2 linked regions of the Macaca mulatta genome follow. The protein of the gene in region 1 interacts with the protein of each later gene in a pairwise test. Links are inferred from orthologs where the notes say so. Each region holds a gene or a part of one and is shown on either strand. Other genes may lie near its edges.

Region 1 (3,561 bases):
TCTGTCTTTCCCCTAGGGTTTCTAAGCCGGGGAGATGTAAACCTGGGCCACCTCTGCCCATGCACTGTGCCCCACCTCCCCACAGAGAAGGCCAGCCCACAGGCAGCAAAAATGAAGCAAACACATAAAAAAGGCAGAGCCAAGAGATGGAAAAGAGGCTGGGAGCGTTGGCTCATGCCTGTAATCCCAGCACATTGGGAGGTGGAGTGGACGGATCACCTGAGACCCACCTGGCCAACATGGTGAAACCCCATCTCTACTAAAAATACAGAAACTAGCCAGGTGCGGTGGTGCATGCCTGTAATTCTAGCTACTTGGGAGGCTGAGGCAGGAGAATTGCTGAACCCAAAAGGCGGAGGTTGCAGTGAGCTGAGATCATACCACTTCACTCCAGCCTGGCAACAAAAGTAAGACTATCTTCAAAAAAAAAAAAAAGAAAGAAAGAAAGAAAAGAAAGAAAAGAAAGAAGAAAGAAAGAAAGAAAGAAAGGAAGGAAGGAAGGAAGGAAGGAAGGAAGGAAGGAAGGAAGGAAGGAAGGAAAGGAAGGAAAGGAAAGAAAGGAAAGAAAGGAAAGAAAGGAAAGAAAGGAAAGAAAGGAAAGAAAGGAAAGAAAGGAAAGAAAGGAAAGAAAGGAAAGAAAGGAAGAAAGAAAGAAAGATGGAGAGAGTCCTGATGCCATCACTCAATACCATCAGTGTTCCCACCACCATTAGCCAACAGATTCTCTTTTTTGTAGAAAGCAACTTGAGTTTGGTTTCTTTTTTTTTTTTTTTTTGAGACAGAGTCTTGCTCTGTCACCCAGGCTGGAGTGCAGTGGCGCGATCTCGGCTCACTGCAAGCTCCGCCTCCCAGGTTCATGCCATTCTCCTGCCTCAGCCTCCCGAGTAGCTGGGACTACAGGCGCCCGCCACCGCGCCCGGCTGATTTTTTTTTGTATTTTTGGTAGAGACGGGGTTTCACCGTGTTAGCCAGGATGGTCTCAATCTCCTGACCTCGTGATCCACCCGCCTCGGCCTCCCAAAGTGCTGGGATTACAGGCGTGAGCCACCGCGCCCAGCCCCGAGTTTGGTTTCTTATCATTAACGCGAAGAGTTGATAATAGACTATAGTTGTATTTCCAGCATCTTTTGTTTCTCCTACTGGACAGTGAGCAATTTGAGAGTATAGCCCCCACCCTGACCTGTCCCCATGTCCAAGCAACCCAGCCAAGGGCCTGGCAATGCAGCGATGGAATATTATTAAACCACCTGGGCTCTACTCACCTCACACCTATAGCAATTTTCATGGAAGTTTCTTCCCATGCACTCGATTTTGAAGGCATCTTTCCCATCCCGAGGAATGATGGGATTTTCACAGATGCTGCAGACGGGGGCGAATTTCCTAGAAGCAAAGAAACCCATGCTTGGGAGGCGTTCATGCCACAACCACATAAATTAATTAGCTGTCAGAACTCGGGCTGGCTGGTGTTCACCTCCTGAGCAATTTCAGTCCCGTTGCTATGGGACTGCACTAGCAGCTATAAGCAGAGATGTCTATTTCTTCCTGGCAGGAGCAGGTGGAGAGACCTGTGTAATGAGACCTGGTTTCCCAGCATCACTGGAGATTGCCTGAATTGAGAACTGTGTTCAGTGGGGCTGGGACCCATCTCATCTGTCTTTTTTTTTTTTTTTGAGACGGAGTTTTTTGGCTCTTGTCACCCAGGCTGGAGTGCAATGGCACAATCTCCGCTCACTGCAACCTCCGCCTCCCAGGTTCAAGCGATTCTCCTACCTCAGCCTCCTGAGCAGCTGGGACTACAGGCAGGCGCTACTATGCCCAGCTAATTTTTGCATTTTGAGTAGCGACCACAGGGTTTCACCATGTTGGTCAGGCTGGTCTTGAACTCCTGACCTCGTGATCCGAACCACCTTGGCCTCCCAAAGTGCTGGGATTACAGGTGTGAGCCGCTGTGCCCAGCCAGTACTTCTTTCTTAAGAGGCACATCTGTCTCTCCCCTTGAGTGGTGAGCAACTCATGGGCAGGGATTGAGTCCAACAGATGTGTCCCCACTGCGTCATTCAGCTCCAAGGGCAGACCTAGAGGTCTGGGGTTTCAGAGCAGGGCCCAAAAGTCAGGTCCTTGGGGATGTGCATACTTACCAAGAGTTTCAATACTTACCTGTGGAGAGACTTTGGGTACTTAGCTGCTGTGTGCCTTGGTTGGTAAAACAGAACCCTTAATAGTACCTGCCTGTGACATTATATATATTTTTTAGTTTTTTGCTTTGTTTTGCTTGAGATGGAGTCTAGCTCTGTCGCCCAGGCTGGAGTGCAGTGGCACGATCTCAGCTCACTGTAAGCTCCGCCTTCCGGGTTCACGCCATTCTCCTGCCTCGGCCTCCTGAGTAGCTGGGACTACAGGCGCCCGCCACCAGGCCTGGCTAATTTTTTTTGTATTGTTAGTAGAGATGGGGTTTCACCGTGTTAGCTAGGATGGTCTCAATCTCCTGAACTCGTGATCCACCCTCCTCAGTCTCCCAAAATGCTGGGATTATGGGCATGAGCACTGTGCCCAGTCCAGCCCTGTAATATTCTTTTTTTTTTTTTTTTTGAGACGGAGTCTCGCTCTGTCGCCCAGGCTGGAGTGTAGTGACCGGATCTCAGCTCACTGCAAGCTCCGCCTCCCGGGTTCACGCCATTCTCCTGCCTCAGCCTCCTGAGTAGCTGGGACTACAGGCGCCCGCCACCTCGCCCGGCTAGTTTTTTTTGTATTTTTTAGTAGAGACGGGGTTTCACCATGTTAGCCAGGATGGTCTCGATCTCCTGACCTCGTGATCCACCCGTCTCGGCCTCCCAAAGTGCTGGGATTACAGGCTTGAGCCACCGCGCCCGGCCTGTAATATTCTTTATAATAAACCAGTAGACAGGAAACTCTGGCCCAGCACCCAGGACTCAGGCTCGGCTCCTTCATCCTGCTTGGATCTCACCCTGTCCCTGCACCCCACCTGGTGCCAAACCCCTCTCGTACCTGTAGAAGTCATCCAGGCAGTACACCTCGTTCTGGCTGCCCAGGGCAAAGCTCTCATCCCCAATGCACCGGGCGCAGGTCACACACGTGAAGCAGGAGGGGTGGAAGGCCTGGCCCAGGGCCCTGATGATGTGGTCCTGGACCACTTCGCCACACTTGCCGCACTTCTCCAACGTGTCCTGGGACAGAGGCCACTGTCAGAGTCATCCACGGCACACCCAGTCCAACCCACAAGGGTCTCTTCTTCTGGGAGGCTGCCCTCGGGGGCCCAGGAATTGGGAAGTACAGGAGAGGCCTGCAGACAACCTGTAACTATTGCCCAAAACCTCCACCATTGCTTATAACAAATTGAGCTTAGCCTTGCATCCTTGGCTTACTGTAAGGAATACTGCCCTGATGCCCTGATGCTATGACTGCATTTCTTGTTACTGGGATATGTTTAAGGTCAGGGTTCAAAGAGCTCATAGGAGAAACTTCGCTTAAACCTCAGGGTCAGGAAAAGGAATTCTCAGGAGAATTGGGTGCTTTTATCATATAGACAAGAAGCCTTGAAAT
Region 2 (3,484 bases), on another chromosome or scaffold:
CCAGATTTAAGGGGAGATAGAGAGAGACCTCAGCTGGTCCAGAGATGGACAACTCAGAGACCCAAAATTCATGAAGAAGACTTCGAAAGACCTCAGAGTGCGACCACAGACCCTGAAACATAGAAACCCCCCAGACCAAAAACATAAAAGGAAACTCAGTCCTAAGAAAGATCTCCACACAAATACTGAAAGACCCCTCCGAAATCTGTCTCAGAGACAAACTCCAAACTCAAAGACAGAGATCTCAGGGAACCTCCCCTCCCCACTTCCCTGCCCTAGAACCTCCGAGAGGTAGAACACTGACGTCAGCCTGGGAAACTCCGAGGCATCCCCACCACCAGACCAATGACCTCAGACCTTGAAGGGAGGGGAAATATTGGGTGGGGGCAGTGGCAAGAGCTTTTTTCTCTGCGCCTCCTCCCACCTCTCTGCCTCTCACTGGCCCCTCTCTCCATTTTTGGGTCACAGGATGTGCTTGGGCCCCAGGGAAGTTATGTAGGGCAGGTCCTGGCTCCTCAGGGGATGGGTTAGGGAAAGGAGACCCAAGGCTGAGAGGTGGACCAATCCTGGGGAGTGGAATAGGCAGGGAAGAGGGGACAGAAGGACCATCACCACTGTCCCCATCCTGCAGCCCTCGTTCTCCTTCCCTCTGATTCAGTAGTCTGTCTCAAGCTTTGGGTTTTCAATTAAGATGGCTAGGCCCCATTTTCACCATCCTCTACCCCATTTACAGGATCTCGCTCTGTTTTAAAATGCATCTTTCCTCACCTAGCTATTGTCGTGCCATGCCCATGCCTGCCTAATCACTCCCCGCTACGCAGGGACAGCGGGCTTCTAGATCACCGTTGTTCATTCCCAAACCCAGGCACATCTCTGTCCCAACTAAAATGGCAGGGGGCGCTCTCTTAACCCCTGAGGTTGGGGTGAAGGGTCTTTCTCAGACCCTGCCACACCTTAAGGCCTCGGAAACAGTGCAGGGGAGGTTAGGCACATTGTGGGGTTTAAGAATGATTCCCCACACCACAGCCTGACGCATCGACTATGCGGGGTCTCCGGCCCCCCCCCTTTCCTGGAGCCAGCACTCGCCTCACGTGGCCTGCAGGGCTGGCCTGTGATTGGCCACTTGGCGTCACTCACTGAGTGCCGCCGCCGGAGAGGACCGGCCCCCTCACGTGACAGTGGAACGCCGCAGCGGCTCTCCTCAGCCAGCAAGTGGTAGTTTCGGGTTCACACGGAAACGGGCGTGCCATTTCCGCGCACGTCTGCAGATCCAGCGGTCGATTGGTCAAGTCTCCCATCGCTCCGCCCTCATCAGGAGGCGGGCAAACCGCGCCACGAGAGGGCCAGGATTGGCTGGCTCTGGAAGCGCGGGTGGTCCCCCTTCTACTGTCACATGGTGCGCGCTGTTTTCTTATCACGTGGCTGCCACCCAGGTAAGAGGCCGCTCTTCCTGGGGTTGTTTCTCCGTGTGACGTGTGGCCTCTGAGATCAACTCTCCTCTACCAGCGTAGGCCGCATGAGTAGGGGGCGGGCTCCCGCGGTCCTGCTCGGCGGAGTGGTGAGTGACCGGCCCCGTCCCGCCCCTTCCGGTCCTCGAAGCCTCGACCGCTACCTGCACCCCAAATCCCAGAGGTTGGCCCCCTGAGGTGTGAGTGAAATGAGCCTTTGCTTTACTTTTCCAAGTTTCTCTCTCACCTTCAGGGGCATTCTTCTTCGGGGTACATCAGAGGGAGGGCAGAGCCTGAGTAAGCAGAGGCTTCCCTGGGTGTAATTTCCTGGGCTGTTGGTGAGGAGAGATCGAATTCGCCTCCTGCTCTCAGGCTTCTCTGCTCCTGTCTTTTGTTTGGATGCCGGCGCTGCTGCCTGTGGCCTCCCGCCTTTTGTTGCTACCCCGAGCCCTGCTGACCATGGCCTCTGGAAGCCCTCCGACCCAGCCCTCGCCAGCCTCGGATTCCGGCTCCGGCTACGTTCCGGGCTCGGTGTCTGCAGCCTTTGTCACTTGCCCCAACGAGAAGGTCGCCAAGGAGATCGCCAGGTAGGGACCTCGATGTTCAGCGAGAAAGGATGATCATGAAGGGAGAGTTGGGGGTGGGGCAGAAGAGTGCCGCTTTCTCCTCTCTTCAGCTCTGCAAGCCTGTCTCTGGGCTGCCAGTACAAAAACTGGGGTCATGGGGCACTCTGAATGGGACTGTCTCTTCACTCCAGGGCTGTGGTGGAGAAGCGCCTAGCAGCCTGCGTCAACCTCATCCCTCAGATTACATCCATGTGAGTCATAGGAGTTGGGGGGTTAACCTAACTGTAGGAGCTGACTGGGAACCTCTTTCCTGGGGGAAATTCTTTGCTCCTCACAACTCTCCCCCTCTGACCTTTCAGCTATGAGTGGAAAGGGAAGATCGAGGAAGACAGTGAGGTGCTGATGGTGAGAAACATTTCCCCCACCCAACAAAATTTCCCCAATCCCTGACCCCTTTAGCCCTTACCCCTCTTCTGAGAAACTGAACTCAGTCCCACTCCTTGATTCAACCATGTTTATCTTTGTCCCTTAGATGATTAAAACCCAAAGTTCCTTGGTCCCGGCTTTGACAGATTTTGTTCGGTGAGAACTTTGAGATGTATGGGGTGACGGTGTGTACTGTGGGGGTGTACTGTGGGGATGGGACTTGCTTGCGCGAGGGAGTGGCTTCCTTTAGGTCAATCTTTGAGTAATCCCCTTCCCCCACCCACCTATCTTGTAGTTCTGTGCACCCTTACGAAGTGGCTGAGGTAATTGCATTGCCTGTGGAACAGGGGAACTTTCCATACCTGCAGTGGGTGCGCCAGGTCACAGAGTCAGTTTCTGACTCCAGCACAGCCCTGCCATGATGAGCCCTGTTCCTGCCGTGATCCCCTTGATACTCAATGCCTTCTGACTTCCAGGTGATGACCGGGCCCCCAATAAATCCTGTCTTTAGGTCTTTCTGCCTTTTGCCTGTTTTTTCCTTGTCATGTATGCAAATTTGTTGGGAGAATATAAGTGCTTCTAGTCCCTGTATTCTGTACATCTTTCAGAATGACTCCGAGCTGCTAGATTTATTTCTCTTTATTTCAATCATACAGAGTCCGGGATCCCTTATCATCCTCCCTCCTCAGTCTCTGCCCCCAGGGGTTAAATAATTTTAAAAAATATTTAAAAAGCTGTAACAAAATAACATCAAAGGAAATGGGAAGGATGGAGGGGTCAGGAATCATGAAGGAAGGTAGAGAAGAGAGCCTCTTCCCCACCCCCCACTCTTGGATTCCAGCCTGGGCAGTAGGGAGAACTATCCCCTATCTCTCCAGGTACATCCCAGCTGTAGGTGAGGTCAGAGGTCAGGGTATGAAAGTGCCGGTGTGTGTGAATGGGGAGGTGGGCAGAGGCAAGCTGTTCAGAAGATGCCCCCTCCTCCCCACTCAACCAGGTACTGCACAGAGCCATCAGGCCGTACTCTCCGAGCAAGGACCCGGA

What was found.
Region 2: the proteins of FBLIM1 (region 1) and CUTA interact in binary tests that used the Homo sapiens proteins (3 or more experiments, as listed by UniProt). The two-hybrid records come from large-scale screens. The link is inferred for Macaca mulatta from reciprocal best matches to the Homo sapiens genes FBLIM1 and CUTA.

What each region holds. Positions count from the first base shown.
Region 1 is NC_133406.1:225,257,012-225,260,572, forward strand, and holds part of FBLIM1 (filamin-binding LIM protein 1), read right to left. Parts: intron 3,186-3,561; coding exon 3,007-3,185; intron 1,381-3,006; coding exon 1,263-1,380; intron 1-1,262. UniProt on the Homo sapiens protein: Serves as an anchoring site for cell-ECM adhesion proteins and filamin-containing actin filaments. Is implicated in cell shape modulation (spreading) and motility.
Region 2 is NC_133409.1:148,861,608-148,865,091, forward strand, and holds CUTA (protein CutA), read left to right. Parts: upstream 1-1,402; 5' UTR 1,403-1,433; exon of another isoform or gene 1,434-1,506; 5' UTR 1,507-1,516; coding exon 1,517-1,558; exon of another isoform or gene 1,559-1,648; intron 1,649-1,820; coding exon 1,821-2,035; intron 2,036-2,205; coding exon 2,206-2,265; intron 2,266-2,373; coding exon 2,374-2,419; intron 2,420-2,546; coding exon 2,547-2,596; intron 2,597-2,735; coding exon 2,736-2,862; 3' UTR 2,863-2,954; downstream 2,955-3,484. Other genes in the region: PHF1 (PHD finger protein 1), read right to left, coding at 3,405-3,484. UniProt on the Homo sapiens protein: May form part of a complex of membrane proteins attached to acetylcholinesterase (AChE).